2 linked regions of the Coturnix japonica genome follow. The protein of the gene in region 2 interacts with the protein of the main gene of each other region in a biochemical or structural test. Links are inferred from orthologs where the notes say so. Each region holds a gene or a part of one and is shown on either strand. Other genes may lie near its edges. The genes, in order: POU2AF1 and POU2F1.

Region 1 (7,120 bases), on a different chromosome or scaffold from region 2:
CTGCTGCTCCGTCACCTCCAGTTGAGGCACCACGGCCGGGGTGCTGCTTCGGGGCTGGTGGGAAGGAGAGGCATTTAATAGAATCAAACCATTGGCCATTGGGTGGGGTGTGGGACACAAAATGAGGGGAAGGATGCTCAGTCTCACTTTGAACATCCCTTTTCCTGTCTCTCTGGGGAAGATTTACACCCAGGGTGGCAGTTTTCCCACGCTGGCTCCCATGAGAGCGGTGGCTGTGGGTGTCCCAGGTGCTCGCGGGCAGTAGCTTGAGCTCATGATGAGTTAGTTCCCTTCAGCTTTCTGTTCCCACTCCCACCCTCACTGCAAGGCCATGAGACAGCTTCACTTTATACTGAATGCTGCCTTCTTTGGCAGCATTTTTTTTTTACCAAGCCATTTTCCTGGCACGTCCAGTAGGTATTTCCTAGAATTCCCTTCTTCACTTTTTGCTTTTTTTTCTTTCTTTTCCAAATATTTGGAATTAAATAGTGAAGAATCTCATGAGGACTGCCAGATCTGCAGGCACTCAGGGCCAGGTGGGATGGGGTCCTGGGCAGCCTGAACTGATGGGTGACAGCCCTGCCCATGGCAGAGGGTTGGAACTGGGTGACCTTTGAGGTCCCCTCCAACCTGAGCCATTCTATGATTCTAAGTCCTTGACTTGACAACAGTGTATAGGGACCATAGAGTAAACCCATTCAGAACCACAGCTTTCTCAGCTATTGCAAATCTAAGACAAAGAACCCCTCGTCCAATTGGAACCAATGACAACAGTAAGCTGAACTGACTGTGTTATTGCTGTTAAATTATATGAGTTATATCCTGCACTCCCCATTGATGCTTACTGGAAGGTGGGGATTAGCCATCATTTATACATAGTTATCTTTGACTTACTGCAAAATTGGTGATCAGTGGCTGAGACGCATAGGTCAGCACAGATGAAGGTCCAACCAGCGTGTAACTGGGACACATGGGCTGAATGTACATGTCTGCAGTGTAAGGACAGCTGGCTGCTTCGTGGGACACGTAGTCGGGGTAAGTGGTCCACTGAGTCAAAGGCTGCAGGGATGATGGAGAGGGCTGGGAGAGCCAGCTGGAACAGAGGGCTCCTTCCTCTGCACTGGGTAGTGCAGGGGCAGCAGCATCCACATCGATACATGGCTGGCCTGGAAGACAGGAGGGGATGACAGCTCAGTTCTGCATGGCTTTCCCTGCAGCAGGGTTGAGAAATACATAGAAAATCAGGGAAGCATTACCCATTGGTGAGTAGGAAGGGAGCGGCTGGTGGGGCAAAACAACCTAGGAAAGGGAAGAAAAATATCCAAGGATTAATACCATAAGCAGCAGCATCTCTTTCAAATCAATGGCAGCTGAAGCTGCCTAGTACCTTAAAAGCAAAAATGCATTTATTTCATAGAATGGGTCAGAAGGGACCTTTAAGATCATATAATCCAACCCTACAGGCAGGGACACCTCCCACTACACCACATTGCTCAAAACTTGGTCTTCATTTACATCTGATTTATAAATGACATTTAAAATATATCATAGTGTCTCTAGGTATCAAGAGGTTCTGCTACCTCTGAACACTAGTGATACAAAGGTTTCTCTCATTGCACCAAGCAATGCCAGGGCAGCTCAGTTATTTCACTACCCAACCCAGCTCTGCTCCTGCAATTCTTTATCTCTCTTACCGTCGTGGCTGCTGCTGCAGTGGCATTACGGACATTTCCCCTTTTCCTTTTCAGCAGCTCCTTCACTGGCTCTTTGACACGGACCCCTTGATAGGGGCGAGGTTGCGGCTGTTGTTCTGAAGCAGAAGCTGTAAAAATAGGGGAAAAAAAACACACATGACAGGTGGTGTTTGTTTTCTTTTCTTGCCCCTGTTTTCCTGCAGAACGTTCCTACGTGATGCCCTTTCCCTTTGGTCTATTTGCTTCCTGTTGCTGCTGTGGCACAGGTGTGCAGTGCAGTGATTTACAGCACCTGAAGGGCAAACGGGACTGAGTGAACCTGCAGGTTGGTTGATGAGATATTCAAGAGGGTCATGTTATAGTCCCTATTTAGAAGCAAGCTGCAAATAGAAGCAAACATGAAGAACATCCCCATTTGGGCAGCCATTGCCCATTGGACACATATGCCTCATGGCTTTTGGGAGCAGGCTCAGCAAGATACATAATAAGACAACAAGAGTAGAGGAAGAACCGTTCTTCATCAGCAGAGATTATCACCCTGCATTATACACAGTCACTGGAGGCAGTTTAGAGCAGGAGACCACGGGATAACAAAGCTCAGGAAGGCCCTTCGATTTGTGAGCATATCAGTTGGTAAGTTTCCATTTCTGAGGACTGCAGTTGGCTTTATGAAGGAGCCCAGCTGGATACCCAGCTCAAATCATCCGCATAAAGCACCATCCCAGTAGGAAGCGTTGATTCAGATTTACGCTCTGTGCTTTGCGCTGCAGAACGAAATGAAAAGCTGAGTCTAAAACTGCAAGAGAGCCTCAAAAATATTTGACAGAGTTGACTTTTCTGCTTGGATTTCTTTTAAAAATGAAATCCCTATTTTCCCTCAGCTTTGAAACGCCAACAGTTTGCTCTTTCAGCCCCACCACATACCATTTAATCACGAAATCTTGAGAGGCCATTATAAATACTTCTGGCAGCAGATAACACCACAGTTATGTGTGGAACTGCTCTCTTTGTTTGTTACCTTTATGCATATAGGGAAAATTCCATGCTTTAGAGCAGTAGGTGAAGGAAAGCTGATTCCTCAGCCTTTGCCTGATGTGTACTTGTTCTATCTGACCATTCCTTGTGGAACTTCAAAGCGGGTTGCCTGCATTCTCATAACTCCTGTGGCTTTGGAAATGCAGTTAGCAAAGGGAATGAAGGTCACTTCGTTTAATGCAGCTTTGCTTTTACAGCGTAATTGGCATTCATTTCTCTAAGTGACAACTAAAGGCAGTGCCACAGAGCACCATGCTGTGGGCTGCAATTGACTCTTCACAATGACAACTCTGAAAATGAGCTGAATACCAGACAGGTCTGAAATGAAGCCCATCCCATAGGCACTATTTTGCTCTTGCATGACATTTCTTTGGAAGAGATGCATTGTTGGTACCTTACCAAGAACGTCTCAGAATTGGGTGTTGCTGTTGTTTAAGCTGAGCAAAACCATCGGCTCAGCCAAAGCCAACATGCTGTAGGGTGCAAGAGGAGCAGAACGTCCCTCCTGGCAGTGCCCTATCCCCAAGGCAAGCTGCCCTCACAGCTCCTCTCTGCAGGGTTGGGTGGGGAAGGATGGCAGTTTCTGGCTCCAGGTTTGGGGGGATGGGAGAGAAGAAATTTACTGTAAAAGCTGACAAATATACCTATTCACAGTTTCCGGTGTAAGCAGAGTAACCCAAAAAAAAAAAAAAAAAAAAAAAAAAAAATAAAACCAAAGTCTGCACAACATATTTCGGTTCCCCCCAAGCTGACCTCCAGAAATATAAATAATGCTAGCACAGCTGCTTTTCCACTGCTCAAGTGTGCAGAAAGAAGAGAGCAAGACGAGCTTGGGTTCCAATGTGCAATTCCTCATAAAGCAAAATAACGTGATCTTTTACAAGTCTTTTGGATCTTTAATGACCATTAAATTAATGACCAATAACCTTAAGCAGAATGTAGCTGGATTGAGCACTCTCCAGCCGTTTCTATCTAAGGGTTGCCTTAATGAACTATCAAGCCTACTTTGTACTCAATAAAGACTGCTACACTGAGCTGCAATGCACCAACAAACCCAAAACAGATAAAGAACAGCATCAGGTGTACTTTGGTGCACAGCACAACAGCCGTACATCCTCCTTACCAGGCACTAGGTCCCAATTTGTGGCTGCTTGCTGAAGCTGGAGCAGTACAAAACATTGAAAGCATGGAGAGAAGAGAGAGAACCTGACCCAGCCAGTAGGATTGACCATAGTTTCTGCGTGCAAACTTAGTTGAGCTCATTACAACGCTTTGGTCAGGCCGCCTTACAAACCCAAGCTCCTTTCATCAATGTTATCACTCAGTGCATTTACTGATTGCTGAGAAAAGCCTGGCATGAACCCCAAACCCTTCGGAGCAATGTCTCAAAGTGGATAGAGAGCACCAAGCGGTACCAAACACAGCACTCCCTGCAGTGCTATGCATCACAGACAACAGCAAAAAGCCCACAGAGGTGTTGAAGGCTGCTCAGCCATTCAGCTTGCTGAGATTGCAGAGAAGCAAAAGACCACCGCTTCACAAGGTTTCCTTTCCCTGTGCTTATACTGTATGATAAGCTATCAACCAATCAGTGCAACCAGTGCAAACATTTTGCTCTTTCCCTTCCAATGTAATAAAAAATAAATACAATAGAAATCTTTTTCATCTTTACAGGAACGCCAAAAAGCAAACGGTTCCTCTTGGATAACAAGAAAAAAAGGCATTTTGCTTAACAAACCATTGACATTTGGCCTTTGGGCTTGAAAATTCCATAGGGCAGTTGCTGACACTGCTATGGTGTGCAGTGAACTTTGGTGAATTACAAATTATAAAGAGTAGTGGGGGGGAAAAAAGAGGTGTAGCTTTGGATCCACTGCTTGGATGTTTTGACTCCAACCCAAACCTTTTTGGTAGCATTGGTTTGCAACAGATGCTGCTTGGAAATGAGTTGTGATCAAAGCAGACAGGCCACAGTTGTAAGGGAGCTGTGTTGGTAGTGACAGGTCGGGTTGGCTGGTAGACACTGGGAGTCATGACCAACAGACCATTCTTTGACTGACATGCTGAATAAACCACAAAGTAACTCCAAACATGGCATTTCTCCGCATTGCCTTTGGTCATTGCCCACTGTGCCATCTCATCAGTGGTCTCTCCATTTGAAATGACACCCAAAGGCCACAGTGTTGGCATGGTGCGCCCATTTGGAAGCCTAAAGGCACTCTGTGCTTCCGACACATCCCAGATCTCCTGTAAGGTGTTGCTATTCTTTTTATAAGATAACCCTGACTAAGAGAACTGGACCAGAGCAGGTTATTTCCTACACCGCTTGTCACACCGAGGGTGTGTACCTCAGTGAGGATTTAGTTCAATGCAAAGTGCTAAGCAAACATCTGGGCAGAGAATCTGCTGTACAATAAACAGAAAAACTCAGAGCAAGAGCAAAAGAGACAAGCAATGGTTCATTGCTCAGCATAAGGAAATGAACCCGGGAGGGTCCTTAGTGTAATTAAATCAACAGACTAACTATTTCACTTGCTTACCAACAACTCAGAGCAGTATTTGGTCTCTTTCTGCTCAGTTGCTTGGCACGACAACTACTCAATGGCGTGAAACAGATTACTGCCATAGTACTATATTTCACAATTATGCCCAGTCCCTTCATCTATGGGTGTTTATCTACAGTAAGAAGATGTCCAAGAACAAAAGCAACCTTGTGTTCCAGCAGATCCATGTGCCATCATACCCTGCCTGAGTCCTTCCAGCATGCTGCCCTTGTAGGAAAGGTCTCCTCCACACCTCCAGGAGATGTAAAGGAGTGGAAGCCATAGGAGCACTGTACAGAAACTGAGTTCTGCTACAGCACAGGGAGATGGCTGCATTAGCTTTGTGGTGGTGAGGGCTGCCAAAAATTATCTCTTTCAGAATAAGAGAACTCCCGTTGCAAAGGGGAAGCTGAGATAGACAGAAAGTGGCTTAACCATAAGTCTCACCCTGCATGTCCTAATTCCTCCCAGCCCAGAATACTCTTTCCATTTTAGTAATGCAGGCTTTCCATTTAATTGACAATGTGGTCATTCATAGAGCCCGACACCTGCTTTGTAAAGCATGGATGGACTCAACTTTCATGCTATCCATCTTTCCCAGTGGGGTTTTTACCAAAATTAAGACTCACAAGATGTGACATATTGCAGTTTCACCTCTCAGTCTCATTATCTGATACTTTCAGAAAGGCAGTATAAAGCCCCACATCTGCTGAGGGCAGAAAAGGCTTCAGGGGCTTAAAAAGCGTTTGGGAAGAGGTTTGCAAAGGGGAAGATTCACATCTCTCTGTTGCACGGGAATCCTGCCTCACCTGCACCCGTCCCACAAGACTTGAGTAGGAGTTGAGTGTCCAAAGCTTATTGACCTCACCAAAAACACCACGTCAATGTGAAACACTTGCCGAATTGCAACCTGCTCGCATACCCTCTCATAACAGAAGTAATTTGCATGAGAAGTATGTTCATTTTGTCATCAAAATACAACACGGAGTCCGTATGCAGATAGCGACACGTAAGAGGAAAGGTGCTGCGCAATAGAAATTACCCATCCCGCCGAGCAGCCAGCTCCCATCCAGCAGAATCCTGCCAAAAGCTGGGAAGCCCCTACAGTCACTTTGCTCCTGCCGTGGGAGGGGATGCTTTCAGGCCGTGCCTTTTGCTCAGCGGAAGCTCTGGGCCCCATTCCTGTACAGAAGCTCCCGCAGGGTCACGGCACAGTGCGCATCTCCAGCCATGCGAGACTCCCTAGAGGATGAGGGCCTCTGGTCACCGCAGGGCTGAGGGCTGCCCTGTTCCTGTAGGGTTTTCTGCTGAAAGGTCCTCTGCAGAAAGCAGGAAACTGCCCTTCAGAAGTGCCCACAAGAAATGCCCTCTTGGTGAGGTGACACCTATTCAAATCACCGGCGTCGCTCTTCGATTTTCACTTTGTTTGTTTTGATCTTTGGCTGTTTTGGTTTTGTTTATTTCATGGCTGTGGTAAATATGGGGATGATACCATTCCTTTTGAAACCTCCTCTTGTGCTAAAAACCCATTTACATCCATACCATACCATACCATACCATACCATACCATACCATACCATACCATACCATACCATACCATACCATACCATACCATACCATACCATACCACACCATACCACACCATACCATACCATACCAATGGCATCCTGATGGAGGAGGCTGCCAGGAGTTCTGTGCAGCCTACTTCCATGCAGGTACAGATGGAGCAAACATTTCTGCCTCTACCTTCGCATTCCAGCTGGCACTGCCCTCAGCTCAATTGCAAACATAGCTGTGAAAAGCCAATATTAGACTGGATATAAGGAAGAAGGTTTGGCACTGAGGGTA
Region 2 (7,120 bases):
TTTAATGAAGTACTGGAAGATATTAGCTACTACAATGATGGAGGTGGAATAAATACTACAAAAAGACAACTACAGGCTACATAAATTCCACCACAGTCCTATTAGCATAGCTACTATGAAATCTAATAGCTACTGTTTCTATTTATGAAAACAGACCTCCATGGACATTGGTAGCAAAGGAGCTGAAGGAACCTTGATGCAAGTGTTTTGTTACTCATATTTTCATGAAGTTTGTGTTTACCTGAGGTAAATACAAGTTTGGGAAATTAATTACATGAGTATTAGCTATTTTCCTCCTTTGTTCCATGCCTTCTTGATATAATAATTCCTGAATAAAAGTGACAACAACAGTAACACCGGACTTTCATGACTTAAGTCTCCAAATGACACCATTTACTGCTGCTCACCTACTTAACACTGCAGCCCAAATAAGGCAGGAGGGGTAGAACTGCTAAGCATTTTTTATTGCTGTTATATTATAAAAACAGTTTTGTCAAGAGAAAACCCAGATACAAGCATGGGCTACTATCTGGAATATTTCCAAAGCAACAACCTAAATGCAAATTCCCTAGCCAGAATACTTAGTCATGAGTTGGCTAAATAAAATACCTGAAGACCTGATTAGTGCCTGATACTTAAGCATTCTCTCTCTTTTGTAGTATGCAAGAAGTATATTTAAAATGCCAGTAAAAGACACACTTGTGAGAATGAATCTGCTGTACAAAGAAGGTGTAGCACGTGCAATTGCCACAGAGCGCAGAGCAGAACTTTCTTTTCCAGTGGTCTTTTTCAACACAGATTCTTGATTCTTACCAGTGAGGTTGGGCAAGGGAAAATTGCTTTGATGGGCGAGCTGCTGGTTCCACCACTGCTGGGTGGGTTGATCCTTTTCTCCTTCTGGCGCCGGTTACAGAACCAAACGCGGATCACCTCCTTCTCCATGTTTAGCTGGTCAGCTATCATGGTGATCTCCTCCGAGGTAGGCTTTTGGTTCTGAGAAAAGGAAACAAGTACTTGAAAAGTGAGAAACTACCTTCATACGCTTTACATTATAGACTCTCCTTCACTAGGCAGAAATCTGGATAGGCTATTTATACACAGAATCTGCTCAGTGGCACTTTCTCTAGAGACAGATCATAATAGATACTTTTGCCCTACATTTTCCAAGTGACAGGAGAATTTCTACCAATGGCAAGCTACATTCCTTAAAGATGGGTGATGAAGACAAAGCCCACATGAGTCTTTATGAGAGAAAGGATCTGACTTGTATAAGTTTATCCTTCTAAGAACTCTGGCTATTGATTGGAAAGCTTTCTTTTAACATCTCCAGTTAATGAACAGAACAGCTGCATAAAGGTAGTTAAGAACTGAATGTTATGTATGTTGAGACTGTTACCCGTTTACCCATACTCAGAAAAGGTAATTCTGTTTTAATTTTTTTTGGTGTGCACAACATCAAGCTTTGAGCTACTGTTCAGCACCTTGGATTGCAAAAATCACTGAGTCAAGGAACTGTAAGAACCAATGAGATTTTGGTGGGGTGGTTGTATGCATGGGTTTTTTTGCTGTTTTTTTTTTTTTAATTAAAATAGACACTGATCATGTGCTCCTTGGAACAGTCCTTGAATTTACCTCCATTAGTACAAGCAACTTCCTAAATAGTACGGTAATGGTTTCATTCTAGCAGGTGCATCATTAAACTAAAGTTTCTTCGTTTCTTTATAGATTGACCTGAACAACAGTATCACTGACCTCCAGGAAACTCTTCTCTAAGGCCACACGTATGTTGGTCTCTATGCTGGTGCGTTTCTTCCTCCTACGGTTCACGCCTTCGATTCCTTGCCCTGGAGAATTCAGGGCACTTGGGCTGGAGAGAGTTGAATCAGATGAGAGGTTTTCTGTAAAAAAAAAAAAAAAAAGATTAATTAACACAAATAAAGAGATTTTATCTGAATGCAGTGCAACTTATAATGTAAGTGCTCTTCCCCTGTGCAAGGCATGCTAAAATCCACTTAAAATCTACGAGTTAAGCCCAGGAGGGTGCTGTCTTTGCTCCTGTATTCTACCAGAGTACCCCTTTTATTTTACCCATACAAAGTTTCTTTCTCCCATATCTCATTCCAAACCACACTATCAGACTACAACTACAGTTTAAGGAAAAAACGCAGCAGTTGATATACACACCCCACAGCAATAAGCCACAAACTATGAAAAAATCTGAGCGATCTGAAATTTCTTTTACCTATTCTGCAGCACAGTACAGGAAGAAGAAGTTCCCAGCCTTCACAGCATTAAGCCTCTTTGGAGATCCTAGCAGATAGTCTGTGCTATGCAGCTCTGCTAGAAAGCCTACACATCTAGGCTTTACATAAGGAGAGTTTCCCTCTCCTTAGCTTTAGAAGGTCTCCAGTTGTCAACTGCCAATCCTATCCTTTCTGGCCCCACAGAATAGCGAAGAGAAGATGCACTTTTAACCCACTCTGCACAAGGAAGTGCAAACCAACCAACAGGTTCCAGAACTAAGCTCAAGCAAAATGACCAATTATGGTTGAGTAACTCTGAAGACCCTTTTCTGCACTGGGGTTTATGCCTGATAAGTAGATGGCATAGTTCATAATGCTTAACACCACTCTCATAGGCTCAAATGGGCAAGCACATTCACTACAATATTTTCTAGATTATATTATTATTTTTTTCAGTAACTACCCAAAAATCTGCTGGATCCCTTCACCATCCTGAAAATCCCACAGAACAAAGCAAATTCTGTAACAGTGAATTCTAGCACTCCAATGTAACATAATGTAATAGATCATTGATATGCTTCTGCTGCCTGCTTTTACCCAAAAATAGCTGAATGACCTTTATAGTCACCCGAATCTTTCTTTCAAAGATTTTCAAGAAATTGAATGAGAGCCAAAGACTATGGTTCCAAGCTTTCAGGCTGCATAGGAACCCAGCACCGTTAACAGTCTTTAGCTTCATTTTACAAATCCAAGTATTTCTTCCGGTTAGCAGGAAAAACAAAGTATGACATTCCCTCATGTCAGCTTTTAGGGGATTTCTGCCCTGAGAACTACAGCAGTCAGTGTGAAGTTCTTCATGTTTTCTATCATAGATACAGATTATCTAAGGTTGCACCTGGCAAGCACAACAGAATGACATCTCCTTGTTCCAATGAAGAAAAAAAAAAAATTCTACACTGAATCCAGTTAATTACAAAATTTCAGGGAATACTGCAGGTAAAAGCATAAAGCTCTCTTCATCTTGATACCAATAGGAAGGCACAAGTCATCTGTGCCATTGGTTTAGCAGATCCATCAGTTTTACACTACGTACAACCATACATTCAAAAGAAAAAAAGCTGACAGCACTAACATTATCTATCCTGACACCTAGCACCACCATCCAAACTCCATTTTCTGGAGCTTTTTGTTTTCTTTTTCTCTTTGTTTTCGCTATAACACTGGCATCATGAGTAACTTTCTCCCTAGGAAAAAAATCATTCTGGAAAGAAAAAAAAAAAACAAAAACCCTAACAAATAACTCTTCCTATGGAGAGAAAGAGAGTGCTCATAAGGACTCTTGGAGTGAGATGAAAAGAATGCACACAGGGGATGTGGGAGGAGATGAATGCAATAAGCTCTGCTTACTGAAACAACAAAGCATGCAACTCTCTCTTATTACACATCTGAAAAAGAAAGCTAGAGGAGGATTAGAAGTTATATGCATTAACATACATGAAGGAGGAAAACCATGACACACGTTACATCTCACCCCATGCAATTATTCAGCTGACTGTAGAACAAAATTCTAGAAGTTCAAAGGGGAGCTATTTCAGACATATGTGGGCACACAAACAGGGAAGAAGGGGCACTTATTTCTACACCCTTTTTTGTCCCATGAACACAAGATCGATGGCTTCATAAAACCATAAGGGCACCAACGAAGCATTTTTTCCAAAGTTTTTCAGAATCCTACTGATTTTGGTAGGCTGGTGAAGAAATACACAGACTCATTCACCTGCATCATTGAGCCACTTTTCCAGAAGCGGCTTTAACTTGCACATGTTCTTAAAGCTGAGGTTCAAGGCTTCAAAGCGAGAGATGGTGGTTTGGCTGAAGTCATTTCCATAGAGTTTGCCCATAGCGAGCCCAACATCACCCTGGACAAAGAAAGAGAAAAAAGGGATTCACTAACATAGGTACTTCCAAAGCAAGGAATCCTGTCGACATCCTTGAGTATTTAGTGACTCCTATACTGCACAGAATTCAGTTTCACAGAAAGTTGCTCAGCACTAAAGATTCACACTAAAGCGAATAAAGACAAAGAAATGTCATGTTTTCAAACTTCACTTGGTCAATTTAACTGTGTAAGTCTTTCCAGGAAATCCCTCATGCTTTTTCTTCTTAGCATTATCAATACTCAGAACATTCCACTGCATATTAACTTGCAATTTTTCTCATAGTTCTTTAAAAAATAAAAAAATAATAATAAAAAAGAAAGAAAGAAAAAAAAAGGGAAAGGCCAAACTCTCTCTGGGAGCAGATTTAAGTCTATGTATATTTCATATCAATGAAGAAAAACTTCAAGTTAGCAGAAATACAGTGAATTTATGTCCTCAAATTAGCAGAAAAACACTCTTGAAGAGACGAATGTGGCTTGTCTACAAATTGAAGTCACATTTAAATAAATGGAGAAATACTCATAGCTGAACTTGTAGTATCTTCTGATGTTCAAATCAAACTTCTCCCCATAGATGGGCATTTCAAAGCAGGCAAGAAGCTCAATCATTTCAAATAATGATTAACGGTAGTCTTCACTACCAATACCCATCTGCCAAAAGCTAGCCATGAGATTAACAGACAGATGATCACCTCTTTAAGCGTTATTGCTTTTCAAAACTCAGTTTTAGCTAGCTTTCAGACATTCTGCTCCAGTATACGTACGCAGCCACCACGTACTGCATGCTTTGAAAGTCTCATTTAAAAAAGATAAAGTCCCATTCTTGATCACAGTTATTATAAACAGCATGCTTTGGAGTTTTGTTTCACAGCATGAAGGCCTTGTCTTTTCAGAAAATGTAATTGTTTCTTACTATGTGCTATAAAATTAGATTAATTTAGATATCTTTTTATTTATTTATTTATTTAACACAAAAGGTGATAGATAAAAAGCCTGGAAGAAAAGACTGAAGAGCTTGAGCACAGTTAGTGGAGTTTAATTGCGACTGAGTTAGTTGGATGGCACGTAAAGCTTGCTTGCCTTCCTTTACATCAGATCCACAACAACAGCTTGACACAAATAAACCAACAGCATGCAGAGTGGTCACATCCAAGCAAGGTAGAAAGCCTTTGGTAAGTAAATTGTGCAGGCTGCATGAAGAAAACAAACTCCTTTGAAGAGGAACAGAACAATTGGTTTGTAAGCCCTTCAAACAGGAAAGGAAAACTGAGGAAATCTCAACTCATATCCCAGGATTCTGTGCATTTCAAAACTCACAAATCATTCCAAGAGAAGTAACCTGGATGCTCTAGTGTGTTCATGAAAAAAACCTGGCTATGTCAACCATTTTAACCATAAGCTGGTCTATGTCTTGGAAGAGAGATTTATGAAATCTGCTCCAGTGCCCAACCAAATTTAATTCTGATATCTCTGTTGTTCTTACTGATACTTACTGTATGATTAAAATGAATAGTTAACCATTTCTTTGTCAGCAGTTTTCAATACCAAAAAGGTGGCAGGGCAGCACTGCAGATGTAGGCAAAGGAATTTACAAATAGGAGCAAGAATTTCTTATTCTGGGATGGGCTACTGAAAGTTTGGATGGAACAGAGAATGAATGACATGTCTCATCTATGTTGTAGACTGAATGACACTCCAGTAATTAAATAAGACTGATTATAAGGTACCTCACTATTGTGTGTGCTTGTCTGTAGACAGTGATAGGACAATGGGGAATGGTTTTAAACTACAGGAGGGGAAATTTAGATTAGATGTCAGGGGACTGAGAGAGTAGTGAGGTGCTAGAACAGGTCACCCAAAGAAGCTGGGAATGCCCCATCTCCAGAGGTGTTCGTAAGGACAGGCTGAATGGGGCCCTGGGCAATATGATCTGGGCTGGCAACTCTGACTGCGGCAGCGGAACCCTTGAAGTCCCTTCCAACCCAAGCCCTTTTATGATTCTATGAAGTTCAGATGGACTAGAGGAGGTAATATCCTCTAGAGAATCTAAAATGTTTGTTCACATAGCTTTGATCTGTCCTGAGCAATTAGCCCCACAACTGCAATAAGACTAAGATGCAATACTTTCACTGTAACTCTGCATGTCAGAGACAGAGCCACTTTTAAGAAAAACAGTTAGATAACAGTATATAAACACATCTACTATGGACTCTTTTGGGGAGGACACTGCTGAAATTCAGTGTCTTTTATATTACTGAGAAAGTAGAATATAGCAAGTGATCCATTTGCTACGCAAACAATCTTTGAAAAACAGAGGTGGGTTGGGTTTTAAAAAACTTTCAGTGTGACTGGAAATAAATTTATTATATCCTTTAAAAGGCAGTCTGCTTATCCAACTACAGGAAACTGAAGTAACAGGGATCTCCAATTACACAATTAAGTAGACGTTTTTAGAATATAATAAATATATACATACGCACTTAATGCAGGACAGGAATGATCAAATGCAATTTTATTGCTTGTTCTGTTTGCTATTTTTAAGCTAAAAAGCAAATACTAAAATGCAAGCTGTGATCGTTTTTCCTGACCACAGAAAATTTGTAACAGAGTCAAAATAATAAGGGTTAATCCATAGCTTAAAAAGTCTCAGTTGAGCCTTTATAATCATTTGACAGTAGGACAGACTAAACATAATAGCTAAAGATCTACATAAACCTCCTCAATCGGGCTGTAGGGAAGCTATTGTGTTTTACTCTATTCTGTTCTGCTTTATTCCAGTTTTTATGTGTGTCTACTACTGTTACATTTCTGTACCTCCCTCTAGTGGAAAGAAGGAAGAGAAGGAGGCACACATGCCAGCAAAATGCACTTAATTTTACTAGGAACATTCTGTTCTTCGGTTATAATTAAGACACTGCCAGGAACTTTCATTATGAAC

The links.
Region 1: the proteins of POU2F1 (region 2) and POU2AF1 are reported together in a solved structure, tested with the Homo sapiens proteins (2 studies listed by BioGRID, with this or other methods). The link is inferred for Coturnix japonica from reciprocal best matches to the Homo sapiens genes POU2F1 and POU2AF1.

What each region holds. Positions count from the first base shown.
Region 1 is NC_029539.1:3,682,838-3,689,957, forward strand, and holds part of POU2AF1 (POU domain class 2-associating factor 1), read right to left. Parts: intron 1,823-7,120; coding exon 1,695-1,822; intron 1,300-1,694; coding exon 1,257-1,299; intron 1,167-1,256; coding exon 895-1,166; intron 55-894; coding exon 1-54. UniProt on the Homo sapiens protein: Transcriptional coactivator that specifically associates with either POU2F1/OCT1 or POU2F2/OCT2. It boosts the POU2F1/OCT1 mediated promoter activity and to a lesser extent, that of POU2F2/OCT2. It recognizes the POU domains of POU2F1/OCT1 and POU2F2/OCT2.
Region 2 is NC_029516.1:82,220,747-82,227,866, forward strand, and holds part of POU2F1 (POU domain, class 2, transcription factor 1), read right to left. Parts: intron 4,163-7,120; coding exon 4,021-4,162; intron 1,899-4,020; coding exon 1,753-1,898; intron 994-1,752; coding exon 814-993; intron 1-813. UniProt on the Homo sapiens protein: Transcription factor that binds to the octamer motif (5'-ATTTGCAT-3') and activates the promoters of the genes for some small nuclear RNAs (snRNA) and of genes such as those for histone H2B and immunoglobulins.